2 linked regions of the Mus musculus genome follow. The protein of the gene in region 1 purifies or fractionates together with the protein of each later gene. This does not show direct contact. Links are inferred from orthologs where the notes say so. Each region holds a gene or a part of one and is shown in the gene's direction. Other genes may lie near its edges.

Evidence for each region.
Region 2: the proteins of Mapk7 (region 1) and Pfdn2 purify together in Homo sapiens (affinity purification with mass spectrometry; 3 studies listed by BioGRID and IntAct, with this or other methods). This does not show direct contact. The link is inferred for Mus musculus from reciprocal best matches to the Homo sapiens genes MAPK7 and PFDN2.

The regions. Positions count from the first base shown.
Region 1 is NC_000077.6:61,489,928-61,498,112, reverse strand, and holds the start of Mapk7 (mitogen-activated protein kinase 7), read left to right. Parts: upstream 1-3,846; 5' UTR 3,847-4,033; exon of another isoform or gene 4,034-4,158; 5' UTR 4,159-4,234; coding exon 4,235-4,466; exon of another isoform or gene 4,467-4,491; coding exon of another isoform or gene 4,492-4,516; exon of another isoform or gene 4,517-4,607; intron 4,608-4,927; exon of another isoform or gene 4,928-5,021; coding exon of another isoform or gene 5,022-5,043; coding exon 5,044-5,209; exon of another isoform or gene 5,210-5,263; intron 5,264-6,426; coding exon 6,427-7,505; intron 7,506-7,608; coding exon 7,609-8,185. UniProt on the Homo sapiens protein: Plays a role in various cellular processes such as proliferation, differentiation and cell survival. The upstream activator of MAPK7 is the MAPK kinase MAP2K5.
Region 2 is NC_000067.6:171,342,953-171,350,824, forward strand, and holds the start of Pfdn2 (prefoldin subunit 2), read left to right. Parts: upstream 1-2,722; 5' UTR 2,723-2,759; coding exon 2,760-2,834; intron 2,835-7,872. Other genes in the region: Nit1 (deaminated glutathione amidase), read right to left, coding at 486-611, 742-875, 1,112-1,215, 1,336-1,587, 1,962-2,048, 2,616-2,617. UniProt on the Homo sapiens protein: Binds specifically to cytosolic chaperonin (c-CPN) and transfers target proteins to it. Binds to nascent polypeptide chain and promotes folding in an environment in which there are many competing pathways for nonnative proteins.

The DNA.
Region 1 (8,185 bases):
CTTTCATTTTTATCCTAAGTGTGGGATATGAGCTCCTTCAGATTGTCCACAGCAGGTGACTATGATTTACCTCATGCTCTAGCAGGGGTGTGATTTTTGCCAGTATCAGATAGTGGCTGCAGTTATGTGATGTTTGAAATTCTGGGGACTTTTCAGAGGGTAAATGTTAGAGCCCTTAGAGGTGGGGTGGGTTGTTGGTTGTTGGTGGAAGTTTGTTAAATAGTCGTGCTCAAAGAAGAAGATGAAAAGAGGAAGAAGGGAGGAGGAAGAAGAAGGAAAGGGAAGAGGAAAAGAAGGAGGAGGAAGTAGAGGAGGAGAAATTAGATATTCTGACAGTGAAGATCAAACCTGCCCCAGGGAACTCACCCACTGCCCCACCCCCTCATCAGCAGGAAGTCATCTAATGATAATGTAGCCTCCTCCCCCTCTATCCTTTTCTCTCCCCTATCTCATGTTAGGGGTTGAAAGGGTGGGAAATGGGTGAAGAAGGGTGCAAGAAAGAGGAACTCAAAGTAGCAAAGACAAGCTATACCTCTACTGACATTTTCCTTTTTCCCCAACAGAAATCCATATGAAAGAAAAGGTAGTTATGGTCTGTTTTAGGGTAAAGGTAAAGCTTAAAGAAAAGGGACCCCCACTACACTAAAAATTCCCAGTTGTAAGGGCAACTCAAACAGGAAAAGACAGCAATCTAGTTATCCACAGAAGCTCCTAAAATTCCTAAGAATAATTAGAACAGATTCTATTAGCAGTTTTAGCTTATTTTGTGTTTACTTCTTTTAGTTACTTTCCTTGTAGCTCCAAAAAAATACCCAAGCAAAGCAACTTAAAGGGTTTGTTCCATCAAGGCAGCAGGTCCATGTGGCAGGAGCTAGCAGCAGTTAGTCACACTGTATCCATAGTCAGAAAGTAGAATAAGATGAGCATGCAGAATCAACGTGTGTAGTCCAGCTGGTAATCAAGCCTAGGGAATGACACTGCCTTTTTAATTTTTTTTTATTTATTTATTTATTTATTTATTTATTTATTTATTTATTTATTTTTGAGATAGGGTTTCTCTGTATAGCCCTGGCTGTCCTGGAACTCACTTTGTAGACCAGGCTGGCCTTGAACTCAGAAATCTGCCTGCCTCTGCCTCCTGAGTGCTGGGATTAAAGGCATGTGCCACCACGCCCAGCTGACACTGACTTTTTAAAGGGTGGATCTTTCCACTTCTCTGAGCCTAAACTGGATGATCCTTCATAGGTTGTGGTCAGGGCTGGGGTGATTCATAATCCCTTCCTTGCCGTCTCTCAAAACTCACTGTGTTTGCCCACAGTGTCTATTCTTTATTTTAAAAAGATACATTATTTCTGTTTGATAGATACTTTTATTCCTGTGCTAAAGCACCTTGTTTTAGGAGTAACATGCTGATAGAGAATCCTACTGGCAGGACAGCAGGTACAGAGCCTCTCCAGGATTGTATGGTGTCGACTGGAGACGGCAGGTTAAATGTCCACAGCCAGGGAACTTATGGGTCTCAAGTCTCAGGAAAGATGGTGGGACAAGGCTCAGATCAGATTGGATTCACTACCAGAGAGATGGCAGGCAGCCTGGAAGCCTCCATTGCAAAGTTCTTTGCTCATTGACATCACCAATGACCTCCTCTTCCTGAGCATCCATCTTGGGGACATCTCTATCACCTGACTAGAAACCTCAACACTCCCCGTGTATGTTTTTCATGGGTCATGCTCTGTTTTTGTGCTCTCCCTACCCAGTCCACACTCCCAGTGGGGTGGACCTGTCATGAACCATCCCCTCCTTGCCTCCAGCCTTCCCACACCACCTGTGTCCCCATGCTGATTGCCAGAAGCATCTTTCAGAGCTACAGCTCAAAAGAGCCATTTTCCTCAAAATTCCTAGTGACTTCCTGCAGCCTGAGCTTGGGATCCTGAGCTAAACCAGAGCCAGGTCAGAAGCCTGACCATGGCCAACCAGGGCTCAGAAGCCGGAAAGGTGAGTTTTGTACATGTCACGTTGATAGTCTTCATTAGCTCCCCGACCGCCCCCACCCGTATGCTTGGTCTCACTTTTATTTTTGAAACTATAATCTTCTGGGCCAGTTCATTTTCCTGGCTTTTATAAGGTGCAGAACACAGAGGTCCAAGTACTAAAGTGACGTCATTTACTGAGCCAGGGCTGAGAGGTATGGCAGAGTGGTGGAGGGTAGTGGTGGACTGAAGAAGCTATATCCTTCAGTGGTGGGGTTCCAGCCTGTTTCTGCTGTGTGCAAATGCTGGCCTGATGGTGACAAATCTGATTCCATGAGGGGTAACTTCCTATCTGAAGCACAGGCAAATAATCTTCAACTGAGCTGTGTCTACCCTGGAACAGCTCCAAAGAATAAGAATCTTGCATTATCTAGTAAAATACCAGATTCCGTCCTCTTTCAACTCTTCCCCCTTGCAGGCATTTTTTTTCTGCAGATCCCTGTGCCATGCACAGGAACTATCTGCTCAGCAAAAAATACCCAAGACTGCTGGGAACAGAGGAACATTTCAGCCAAAGTCTACCTGAGGGGTCTTAGCTGAACACGCTGAATTTAAGATAAAATCTTCACTAACCTCTAAAGACATCCATTTAAATACTTTCCACCTTCTTTCCCATGCCCCGGTAACACTGAATTGAGACTCTCTGAACATTCTGTCAAAATAGTCATTTAGCCAGGCAGTGAACACCTTTAATCTTAGCGCTCAGGAGGCAGAGGCAGGCAGCTCTCTGTCAATTTGAGGCCAGCCTCTGCCTGTTCAGTGCTGGGACTAAAAGCATGAGCCGGTACATCCAGTTTTTTTAGAAATTTTAATCTAAATCAAAGGCGCAGGTATTAAGTTTGTGAAAATGAATTGATGTGTGAAACTTTCTGCATGTAGTACCAAATGCTGGGCAACACAAACAACCGTGTATGATATCTAAGATCCATTTCTGCTTTAGACTCAACCTTTGGCTTTTGATTGAGAACTCAGTAATAAATGTCAAGGGGACACTCAGACTTTACTGGATTTCATCCCAGTTTCCCTCTCCACACTTTTCTTGTCTCACTGGGAATCCCGAATCTCTTTGGAGATTGGAGACTTAAGCTGCCTACCGAGAACTTTTCTAGCTCTCGAGTTAACAATGCTCACTTTTGCCTCAACCGGACGTCCCAGCCGGATGGAGGAAAAATGGAAGAGGAAAGGGAAAAAGTTGTTGGGTCTGGCCCGGTTCAGAGCGCATGCGCATCCCCGCCAGGTCCTCACTGGCTGGGGGTGGGGGTGGGGGTGTTGGAGTGGTTGGGGGGGTGGGGGAAAACAAGTCAGCGACGCTCTAAAGACTGGGGTCTCTGGTCACTACTCCGGGGTAAGGCGTCCAGAACTTCCGGCGCCGAAAGAGTGCGCAGCAAATTCCCTAGGAAATAAAGCTAACAAGGAAGGAAGAGGAGCCAAAAGGACGGGGTGGGGGTGGGGGGGTGCGGAGCTTGTTGCCTAGGTAACACCCCTCCTCCCTCCCTTATCTCCGCCCTTCGGGCCTGTGGAGCGAGTAGGCTCAGAAGTACAAGAGAACTTGGTGGGGCCTTGCTCGCTTCCCCCCCACCACCCAAGCTCCGGAGGCTGCTAGTACGCATGCGTGAGAGCATGGTGCGGGGCTGCGCGCGCACCCCTGAGGAGCACGCATCACCCCTTGGGCGGCTCCCGCCCGGAGTGGGACAGCTGGGCGCGCGCGCGCGCGCGCGTGATTGACAAGGGCGCGGTTTTCCCGTCCGGTAAGTTTTGATTGGACAGAGTAAAATAAAGGGGTGGGAACCTCCACGGAGGCCGCTCAACGATTGGCTGGGAGCTGGAGGAGCGTGGTCCCGGGGCGGCCGGTGGGGTGGTCTGCTTCGGCGCACGCGAGGCTTTGGTGGTGGCCGCGGTTCTTGTTAAGTGAGCGAGCCCGGGGGAACACTCATCACTGGGTTGGCAAGACTCAGGAATCCCAAATTCCCGAGGAGGCGTGGCGGCGGGGTGCCGGCCGGTCGGTGAGTGCGATCCCGGGAGTCCCAGCGCCCCGCCCCTCCCTTTCTTCCGGGGCCGCGCCGCGCCCCCCTGGATCCTGGGCCGTGGGGTTCTCTGTGCCAGCGGTCCCCTCTCGCCTGCTGCACAGGTCCTGCCTCCAAACCCACAGAGGCGGAACTGAGAGGCCCTCAGGACGATCTTCTCATCAGCGCTTCGTACAGACCATGGCCGAACCGCTGAAGGAGGAGGACGGCGAAGATGGCTCTGGGGAGCCCCCTGGGAGGGTGAAGGCAGAACCCGTTCACACCGCTGCCTCTGTGGTGGCCAAGAACCTGGCCCTGCTCAAAGCCCGCTCCTTCGACGTGACCTTTGACGTGGGGGACGAGTACGAGATCATCGAGACCATAGGCAATGGGGCCTACGGGGTGGTGTCTTCGGCGCGCCGCCGCCTCACGGGTGAGCTGGCTTCCTGAGGCTCAGCATGTGTGGACTGCTTTCCAGAGGCGGTGAGGAACCCGCACGGTCCCAGGAGGATCAGCTGCGCCGGGGATTCTGGTTCCACTCACGCTTACGGACTAGGTGCCAGCTCCCCGTTAGGTACCCTTCTCAGGAACCCCTGCTTCTCCCAGTCAGCCTACTTTCTCCTTAGGAAAAGGATATTCCCTGTAAGCCAGAATAGAGAGATGCTCTTTGGTGTCCAAAAGAGATATGTTCTAGAGCCAGAGATTGGCACGATGGAGTGGTGGAAGAATGGGGAGGATCTGGGATGGACTGACTATGTGAGGAGGGAGGGAGGGAGGATCAGTTAGTACAGTCACAACCACTGCTAACTAGCCGCGCCTCCTCTCTATGTGAGCTATTAGCAGCCGTTTCACGAGGCAGTTGCGAAATTAAAATTTGATATATGTTACACACAGGGCCCTGCACACAGTAGGTACTTACTGCTATCTGGGCTCCAGAAGAGCAGTGCTGGAAGGGACCTGCAGCTAACTTGAAGGTACTCTCTGGTATATGCCCTTTTCCTGCTCCCCAGGCCAGCAGGTGGCCATCAAGAAGATACCTAATGCTTTTGATGTGGTGACCAATGCCAAACGGACCCTCAGGGAGCTGAAGATCCTCAAACACTTCAAACACGACAATATCATCGCCATCAAGGACATCCTGAAGCCTACTGTGCCCTATGGAGAATTCAGATCTGTGTAAGGAGTGGGCCAGGAGGAGGAGACACAGTCGGGATCAGCTTAGAAGCCCAGGTTCAGTAATACTGAAGTTCTGGCAGGGCGGTTGAACCCAGAGTGATGCGGGCTGTGAGTCCAGGACATTGGTAGGGACAGTTCTTATCTCTCAAGAGGGCAAGGGCTGGGGATGTCGATCACTGGTAGGCTGATGAGCATCTTTGAGGTTTTAGGTTGACTCTCCTGTACAAAAGGGGAAAAGAATCAAGAGGATTTACCTCTTTATGGTCATGCCACCTTTGGTTATATCATAAGTTCAAGGCTAGTCTAGACCCTGTTCCAAAAGACAAAACAAAAAACCAAAACAGCAATAGAGGAGAGGGAGAGAGGACAGACAGACAGGACAGATCCAAATTGTAAGACAACGGACACAATACATTGTAGTGTCACACAGCAGTGTCCTCATGGCAGACAACTAATTATTCACAGAATACCTCCTTAAAAATAGAGTCTTCAACATAGCTTTTTCAGTAGCTGTTGGCAAACTGTAGAGTTTGCTCTAAAATTAACCATACTGGCCAATCTTGGTAGATTTGAATATTTCTATAAAAAAAATTTTTTTTGACAGAAATTAGGTCCATGGAGAAAGTGATTTGTCAGAAAGCTGTAAAAAAGTTGGGGCTAGAAAAAACCGATTCGGTGATTAAGATCACTCGATCTTTCAGAGGACTTGGCTTCAGTGCATAGTGTCTTCACGGTGGCTAACTGACATCTGTGACTCCGGTGTTGGGATCAGACTCCCTCTTTCTGCCTCTGTAGACACAAGGCACACAAGTAGTACACATACGTTCAGGAAAACATACACATACGTTTAAGAAAACTTTCATAAAAGTTGTGGCCAGGCGGTGGTGGCGCATGCCTTTAATCCCAGCACTGGGGAGGCAGAGGCAGGCAGATCTCTTGAGTTTTGGGTTTGAGGCCAACCTGGTCTACAAGAGCAAGCAAGTTCCAGGCCAGATAAGGCTACACAGACATCTTGTCTTGAAAAAAAGAAAGAAAGAATGAAAGTTGTAGAAAACCTAGAACCTGTTGCTATTCTCTCTTTCCATGCTGTTAGTCCTTTGGGGTTTCACTGTAAGGCCATAACCTCAGGAATTGGGAGTGCCAGGGGACGGAGTGCCAGGGGGGGCTTCTCCCTGTGATGTGAGGAGGCTAGCTCACCCGTTTCTTCCCATTTTCAGCTATGTGGTACTGGACCTCATGGAGAGCGACCTACACCAGATCATTCACTCTTCACAGCCGCTCACCCTGGAACATGTGAGATACTTCCTGTACCAGCTGCTTCGGGGCCTCAAATACATGCACTCTGCTCAGGTCATCCACCGTGATCTTAAACCCTCTAACCTTCTGGTCAATGAGAACTGTGAGCTCAAGATCGGTGACTTTGGAATGGCCCGTGGCCTCTGTACTTCCCCTGCCGAGCACCAGTACTTCATGACTGAGTATGTGGCTACTCGCTGGTACCGTGCCCCGGAGCTCATGCTTTCCCTGCACGAGTATACGCAGGCAATCGACCTCTGGTCTGTGGGCTGCATCTTTGGTGAGATGCTGGCTCGGCGCCAGCTCTTCCCAGGCAAAAACTACGTGCACCAGTTACAGCTGATCATGATGGTGTTGGGAACTCCGTCACCAGCTGTGATTCAGGCTGTGGGGGCTGAAAGGGTGCGAGCCTATATCCAGAGCCTGCCACCAAGGCAACCTGTGCCTTGGGAGACAGTATACCCAGGTGCTGACCGCCAGGCCCTCTCCCTGCTGGGACGCATGTTGCGATTTGAACCCAGTGCCCGAATCTCAGCTGCTGCTGCCCTTCGCCACCCCTTCCTGGCTAAGTACCATGACCCTGATGATGAGCCTGATTGCGCCCCACCTTTTGACTTTGCTTTTGACCGTGAAGCCCTTACCAGGGAGCGCATTAAGGAGGCCATTGTGGCTGAGATTGAGGACTTCCATGCACGACGGGAGGGCATCCGCCAACAAATCCGCTTCCAGCCTTCTCTGCAGCCTGTGGCTAGTGAGCCTGTGTGTCCAGATGTTGAGATGCCCAGTCCCTGGGCTCCAAGTGGAGACTGTGCCATGGAGTCGCCTCCTCCAGCACTGCCACCATGCTCTGATCCTGCACCTGACACCGTTGATCTGACTCTGCAGCCTGCCCCGCCGGCCAGTGAGCTTGCTCCACCAAAAAGAGAGGGTGCCATCTCCGACAATACCAAAGCAGCCCTCAAAGCTGCCCTGCTCAAGTCCCTAAGGAGCAGGCTCAGAGGTGGTGTGTGGGCCCAGCAGCTGAGTGGGTAGTGGAGTGGTAGACAGGGATTCTGGGACAGATCTGTAAGCCATTACCTTTCCCTTGTCCAACTTTTCTGCAGATGGGCCCAGTGCACCCTTGGAGGCGCCTGAGCCTCGAAAGCCCGTGACAGCTCAGGAACGCCAGCGAGAACGAGAAGAGAAGCGCAGGAGGCGACAAGAGAGAGCCAAGGAGCGGGAGAAGCGACGACAAGAGAGAGAACGCAAGGAGAGGGGGGCTGGTACCTTGGGGGGCCCCTCTACTGACCCTCTGGCTGGACTGGTGCTCAGTGACAATGACCGAAGCCTGCTAGAGCGGTGGACTCGCATGGCTAGGCCTCCTGCCCCTGCCCCTGCCCCAGCGCCAGCACCAGCGCCAGCACCGTCCTCTGCCCAGCCCACTAGTACTCCTACTGGCCCCGTATCTCAGTCTACTGGTCCTCTACAGCCTGCAGGCTCTATTCCGGGTCCTGCCTCCCAGCCTGTTTGCCCACCCCCTGGCCCTGTTCCCCAGCCTGCTGGCCCTATCCCTGCTCCGCTCCAGACTGCCCCTTCCACTAGCCTTTTGGCCTCCCAGTCACTTGTGCCACCTAGTGGGTTGCCTGGTTCTGGTGCCCCAGAAGTTCTGCCTTACTTCCCATCTGGCCCACCACCTCCAGA
Region 2 (7,872 bases), on another chromosome or scaffold:
CACCAGATGAAAAGGAAGAAAATCAAGTAGAAAGGAGGAGTGTTTGTGTTTTGTACTTTTGAGATAAGGTCTCCCTGTGTAACCCTGGCTGGCTTAGACCCACAGAGATCTGCCTGCCTTTGCCTCACAGTGCTGAGATGAAGAGCATGCACCACCATGCCCCACTCTTTGAAGGTGTGGGTTGCTTTTTTGTTTTTGAGACAGGGTTTCTCTGTGTAGCCCTGGCTGTCCTGGAACCCACTCTGTAGACCAGGCTGGCCTCAAACTCAGAGATCCACCTGCTTCTGCCTCCTGAGTGCTGGGATTAAAGGTGTGCACCCCCACTGCCCAGCTTCTATTTTGTTTTCTTTTTTAGTCAAGGCATGCTGGCTTTGAACCTGTGGCTATCCACTGAAGTGCTTGGATTTAGGTTTGTACCACTCTGCTCCCACTACTAAAAGTAAGGTTAAAGGAGGCCTATATGTTATGAAGAGGCATTCTCTTACCTCCCAGTGGGCTGGACCTGTAACAGATCCAAAGGCTGAAGGATAAGTAAGTATTTCTGCCCCAGCTTGAGCCAATTTCAAAGAAAGTTCAGGGAACCGCATGTCATAACAGATTGCTAGACCAACCTGAAATGAGAAACAACCCACTCATCTTCCCTGTCCCATTCAACAGAACACTGAGTGCCTTCATTAGCCTGCACCAATGGGGGGTGTTACCACTTTTCAACATAGTCCCATTTCCTTTCCAAACTCCCACCTTGCCAGCCGGTGTCTTGACAGGTGGCTCAAGAGTGCCTCCAGGCTTGGTATAGTTGCTTTCTCTCATCGGCCCCTGACCTGGGATCTCTACATCGCACAGATGTGTCTTCCTGTAACTGGCCACTACTGATCCTAGAGAGAGAGAGAGAGAGAGAGAGAGAGAGAGAGAGAGAGAGAGAGAGAGAAAATACTCAGTACAGACACTCTACAAGTCCAGCTTAGCTCTTCTCCCAAAGAGTAACTTGTAGGCTGAGAACAGAAGCATAAAACCCCAAGGCCAAGCAGTTGAGAAAGAAATGCTGAAGATCTGAGTTGAGGAAAGGTAGAGAAGCCTGGGAAGAGGCAAACTAAGGGCTATGACGTCTCACCCTTGCTGTTCAAAAGCACATGACAATTGTAGATTTTCTGATTCTGCTCCCAGTCTTGGCCACGCTCGTGGAAACCGCCCAAGGACAGCCAGATTCCACATTCCCTGGGGGGGGGGGGGGACACGACACACACAACTCTACCCCCTCTGTGGCAATCCAGGAACACTGCTCAACAGGGAGTTCTACACACACAACCCCCCCCCCCCCAAACCCTACCCTTGTACCTGGCAAGCTGGCTATATTGGCCCAAAAGATCCCCATTCAGTGGTTCGGACAGGAGTAATGTCTCGGCAGGGTTTCGTGCAATAAAGTCAAATGCCTCAGGCAGAAAGGCCAGGCAAGCACCCAGTCTGGCAGCCTCTTGAACCAACTCAGCACATGTTTTAAAGTTCTCTTGCTTGTTTGGTGTTGATGTTACCTGGCACACAGCCACCAGGGGCAGCTCCCAGGAAGTTGATGAGGACATGGTTCTGGGCCTGTGAATGACACAGGCAGTATCCTCAGATTTTCTATCTAGGAGAAACTCAGAGGCTCAAGTGGGGGTGGAGCCAGAAACTTTATTTTCTTTTGACTTTTTTCTTTTTTGAGACACGGTCTTTTGTAGCCCAGACAGGCCTTTCTATGTAACTGGGGATGACCTTAAACTCCTGGTTGATCCTCCTTTTTTTCGAGTGCTGGCATTACAGGTGACCCCAGCAACTTGTTTTCATTCTTACAGAGCATAATAACCCTAGAGCTACTGGAGTTCACTCATTACATGTTTGGAGATATCTTTGTCTCCCACTATGAAGTTAATAAACACGAACTAAGCAGCTATGCGCCAGAGAGAGAACATTACGAAATATGTTACCTGGGCTGAGTACAAAGTACTGGGGTTCGAAGTAATCGGTATCCGGTACACAGGAGTTGGTGAGGAGGCCTGGTGATGAAGCCCAGCCTGAAGAAGGTGAGAAATCAGGACACCTAACCCTCTTTCAAGCCGTAAGTTTCTAGAATTCTCTGCCATTTCCAGGCCTGGCCAGTAATCCCCTCCCCCAAGGCTTCGAAAATACTTTTTACTACTAGTAGCTAGGAAAAGATATAAAATGGGAAAATGGGAGAGGCGACTATGATCGGTGCCTTAATACCTCAACTTCCAGTGATCTCACATTAAAACTGAAGCCCTTTTTCCTTTGCCAAACGTTTCCGCAGTTCAAGTCATCTCATGGAACCTTCCTCGTTTCCCCAATTCTCTTCTCGGCTGTGCCACCTGCACAGCTTTATAGACTCAACACGTATCTTTCCCCTTATACCCGAATCTCAGAAGGAAAGTTCACCCTCCCTAGATCTCCACCATCTCATGGTGGGTAGATGGGTACAGGACCAGATCCCAACCCGAGCCCCCGCCCTCTGATTAGCGCGTCCTTCCCCGCCTCTCCCCCCCGGGCAAGAATCTCTGTTGCACAAGTTAAAGCATCGCAGGTGGAATTCACCGCAGCGGGCAGGGTTTGGGAGTAGGTCCTACATGAAGACACAGCCAAAACCATTCACGGGGTCGGATCTCAAGAGCTGCCAGGAGCCAGGAGCGCAGGAGCAAGTGGGCGGTAACCCCCCGGCCGGATGTGACGCAGTGAGAGTGCGCAGGCCGGAAAGCTTGCAGGTGGGGAAGATGGCGGACAGCAGCGGTCGTGTGGGCAAGAGCGGCGGGAGCGGCGCGGGGAAGGGGGCGGTGTCGGCGGAACAGGTGAGGAGCCGCGAGCGCACAAGGCACCCGGGGCGGTGTCGAATTCGTGTAGAAGATAAGATTTGTGGCTCGAAGGGGCCTTTAGTCCTTTCCACGGTCTCCATGGGCACGCACGGGGGAGAGGGGGTCTCTGGAGGTGATCACGAACCTTTCTAGAGCCTGGGTAGGTAGGGGAGAGGCACGCCCGCGGTGTGGGTGGGTAGTCAAGGGAGAAAGCCCTGAGCTGCAGGGTCTGGGAGGGTTGGCCAGGTCTCTGAGAAGATGGATCGTAGTTTGCCCCCTCTCCGAGGTACCCTAAAGAGCGTATGGTGTTTGGCGTGGCATCTAGTAACGAATTCCAAGCTGTTCTTAGTCAGTGAGTGGCTTATGTAGTTCATGGCTCAAAAACCGTGTTCACCATCACCAACACGCTGCAGAGCCACGTGACTCAGACTCTGAGCAGTTTAGTGTTCCGTAAATTATTTTGACTAAGGAGTCTGTGGTTTGTTTGTTTGTTTGTTTTGTCTTGGAGGTGGGGATGAGGGTTGCTATAGGGTCGGGTCCGGCCTTGGCTTTTCCGGAATTCACTTTGTAGACCAAACTGGCCTGGAAGATCCGCTTGCCTCTGCCTCCCACATACTGCGATTAAAGGCTCGGATTATTTCGTCTTTGAGACACGGTCTTACTAAGTGGCCTACGCTGGCCTCGAGCTTGCTCGGTGTGCTCTCTTTGCAAAGATTGACTTCGGAAGAGGGCAGAACCCACCCCCCACCCCCTCTCTCTTTCTCTTTCTCTCTTTCTCTCTTTCTCTCTCTCTCTCTCTCTCTCTCTCTCTCTCTCTCTCTCTCTCTCTCTCTCTTTCTTTCTTTCTTTCTTTCTTTCTTTCTTTCTTTCTTTCTTTCTTTCTTTCATGTGTGAGTACACTGTAGCTGTCTTCAGACACTCCAGAAGATGGAGTCCGATCTCATTACGGATGGTTGTGAGCCACCATGTGGTTGCTGGGATTTGAACTTTGGAAGAGCAGTCGGTGCTCTTAACAGCTGAGCCATCTCACCAGCCCCAGAAGAGTAATTTTAATCATAGGTACATTTGTCAGTTGGTTGTTGAACAATTCCTACAGGTAAAAGCATCAGCATAAAGAGTCTAAAACCCACACTGTCAAAGAGTTAGAAAGTAAGTGTTCAGGGAGAACTGAAGTGCAGGGGAATTCTGGAGATGGAAGAGGGTGTAGCCTCTGACATAGTGGGAAGGAAAAAATGCTAATGCTTTGGAGAGTCCGTCTTGTGTTTGGCTTTGCTTAACCCAGAGGAACAGGTAAATGAAATAGACCTTGTCTTAAACTTGGTCACAGCCAAGTGTGGTGGCCCATACCCATAATCCCCCTGGATTACCCTGTCAGTTCCAGGCTAGCCTGGGTTACAGAGTAAAACACAGTCTCAAAAACAAAACAATGAGACTTTATGTGTGTTTGCATGTGTATGTGCATATACCACATGTGTGCAGGAGCCCTCAGAGACCAGAAGAGTGGTCAAAACCTCTGATAACTGCCTATTAGCTACCATGAGGGTGCTGAGAACCAAACCCAGGTCCTCCGCTATAAAAGTAATCGTTCTTCCACCGAGCCATTTCTCCAACCCTACACTACAAACTTCTGCACATAATGAACTTTTCTTGCACAGTTTGGAGAGAGAGTCCAAAGTAGTGTAGATTTCGGATGTGGCAGGTAAGTAGGCAAGGGAATGGCGGGTAGTGGAATGGTTGGGAGGGTTTCCTGGCCTAGAATCAGAATGACCTGTGCTTGCTTTGTATTTCTTATTTATATATGATTTCTCTTGTTACCTTTTACCCTCGTCTATCTGTAAAAGCACAGTAGTTTTCCATTTCGTAACTAGAGTACTAGGCAAGAAAATCCATTTGGGTTTTGTTTTGTTTTGTTTTTTTCCACCATGACTAAATACAGAGACTACATAGTGTGTTTAACAAATGCTACTTAGAGCTGGAGAGATGGCCTCTGCACTCGAGCACCTGATCTCGCACAGACAGACACACTTGCACGCACATAATCTGAACAGTCTTTCTAAATGCTAATTTCCTTTTATTTTCTAGATTTTTTGGCTTAATTCTAAAGGCTGGGAAAAGTTAGTCATGTGAAGATTTTTTTTCGTTAGAAGTAGTGTGTTCAAAAGCATTGAGCCATGAACTGCTTGGCATTGAAAATGCTGGAGAATTTAAAGAGATATATTGCAAGACCTAAAGAGATACAGTCAACTTTGTTCTTTGACACAGGGTTTTTCACGTGGCCTAGAACTCACCAGGTAGGCTAGGATGGCTGACCAGAGAGTCCATTGATCCTCCCTTTCCTCAGCACTGGGAAAACAAGCCTCAGAATTTAAGTTCACTAGCATTCCAGTGCCAGGCAGTTCATGCCTCAGTACCATGCCTGCCTGCCTGCCTGCCTTTTTTTTCCCTCCTCCTCCTCCTCCTCCTCCTCCTCTTCCTCCTCCTCTTCTTTTTTCTCCTCCTCCTCCTCCTCTTCCTTCTTAAAAAGTGTGTTCTGGGGCTCAAACCCTGGTTCTTTGGCTCTTTACCTGTGAAATTTTCTTCCCAGCCCAATTTAAGGTTTATTACTGATGTGTGTGTTAGCCTAGTGTGTCTCTCACAAGGAAAATAGGAGCAGGTAATACTTCGTACTAGGTGCTTGTTTTATTTTCTGTTCTTTATCATTTATTGGTTTACTATTGTTGTTTTGTCTGAGATAGGCTCTCCCTCTGGAACTTGCTGTGTAGACCGTGCTACTTTAGGCCTTGCTATTCTTGGCTTTGTGAGCCTGTGCAATGAAAAGTAGCTATTTACTTCCAGCATGTAATGCAGAGGCAGGCAAAGGGTAGCCATTCCCATTCTAAGAGAGAGGTAAAGCAGGGGAAGGCTTAAGTCTGAATTCCAAGAGGACAAGCATTATCTTACAATAATTTTTCTCTATATGTGTCATTTGGAAACTCTGGGGCAGGAATTGCGCCTCTAAAATATTGGGCAGCTCCAAATCTGTGTGTTTGAAGGGCTCAGTCCATGCTTCATGCTCTTGGGCTTGGGGGCATGCCAATGCCTGCAGCTTGCCCAGTCGGGCAGTGGAAGACAGTTGCTGCACTATTAGAGATCATGGTAGCTGCCTGGCCTTCACTAAGGCTTGTTCCAGTGAGGATTCGCTATGACAGCTCCCATTCCTACATCAGGTTTCTCCTTGCACCCCCATTTTTCCTCCCACAGTCCAGTGCATCTTTTGAAGCTTTGGTAGAGGAAGCCATTTCTCCACAGCTCCTGCATTCTGCATGCCTCCAGAATTAGCACCATGAGGCATAGATACTACCACAGGTTACTGCTAATAATGCTCTCTCCAGCTGCAGTACAAGCTGTACTTGGATAAATCACTGGAGCATGCTGGGATGTGAGAAGCAGAGGCTGGGTAGACTGGCTATGAGTTCTTTCTGCCCTTAAGATCCGCTTTTGGTTCCATGATTGGAAGGACAGCCAAGATCTCCAAAATGCCTTCATGTGGTGGCCAGAGAATAATTTGCAGCAACTGTTCTCTGTTTCCACCTTGTCCATCCTGGGACAAACTCCTGTAGCCAGGCTTGGCTGCAAAGTCCCTTTACCAGCTGAGTCATCTTACTGGCCTGGCCACTGTCTTGACCTAGTTCCACTGTGTACATAGCCAGGCTGTGAATCGTCTAAGCTTTTAGGCTCTATTTTCTTTCCTTTAAAATTTTATTATTTTATATATATTAGTGTTTTGCTTGCAAGTGTGCATGTATGAGGGTGTCAGATCCCCTGAAACAGGTGTTATAGATAGTTGTGAGCTTCCATGTGGGTGCTGGGAATTGAATCTGGGTTCTCTGGAAGAGCAGCTAGTACTCCTAACTGCTTAGCCATCGTTCTTATTTTCTTTTAATTATGAATTCTGTCTTTAAGCTGGGTAATGTATTCTCGGAAAGAACAGATTTAGATCTTGTTTTATGACCAGGTCATCTGGTCTTCTTTTTTTGTTTTTGGTTTTTCGAGTCAGGGTTTCTCTGTATAGCCCTGGCTGTCCTGGAACTCACTCTGTAGACCAGGCTGGCCTTGAACTCAGAAATCCACCTACCTCTGACTCTCAAGTGCTGGGATTAAAGGCATGTGCCACCACTGCCTGCCTAAGTTCTTGATACAGGAGCTCACTAGGTAGACCAGGGTGGCCTCGAACTCACAAAGATCCATCTGCCTCTGCTTCCCAAATGCCAAGCTTTGATCTTTAAATCAGAGTGTTAAGCATTCAGCGTTATTGATCGGGGTTTGCAAATTACTATGATTTTGTTAAATGTATTTCTTTTCTTTTTTTGGGGGGGGGGTGGGGGTTTCGAGACAGGGTTTCTCTGTGTAGCCCTGGCTTTCCTGAAACTCATTTTGTAGACCAGGCTGGCCTCGAACGCAGAAATCCGCCTAACCTTTGCCTCCCAACTGCTGGGATTAAAGGCATGCACCACCATGCCCAGCTGTTAAATGTATTTCTGGTTGATTGAATTATTGGTGGTTTGTTTTCTCCGTTCTTTATATTTGGGGTTTGGACTGTGTTGGACATGGGTGGGTGAGTGTGTGTGTGTGTGTGTGTGTGTGTGTGTGTGTGTGTGTGTGTGTGTGTGTGTTCGAGCCTCTGCCTGTCCCTTATAAAGTCCAGTCTGGCCTTGAACTCACTATGTAACTAGGGCAGACCTCCTGATCCGGTGCCGGGATTACCGGCAGTCTCTATTTAAGGAATGATGGTCTTTCTTAGTTCTTCTGTTCCTGTCTTTCTTGTGCTTGTATGGTTCCATCTTTATCCTCTGTGTATAGGATTCCTCCCTCGTTGGCTTGGTAGACATGAACTGACTTGGTGCTTCTCTGGTAGTGCCCTGTTTCTTAGTCTGGTTAAATGTCTTAATATACTTTTATTGTGTGTGGTTGCATGCTTGTACAGGCCACAGCACTGGTGTGGCAGCCAGAGGGTAATTCTCTGTAGTTAGGTGTTTCCTTCTACTGTGTGGCTCCT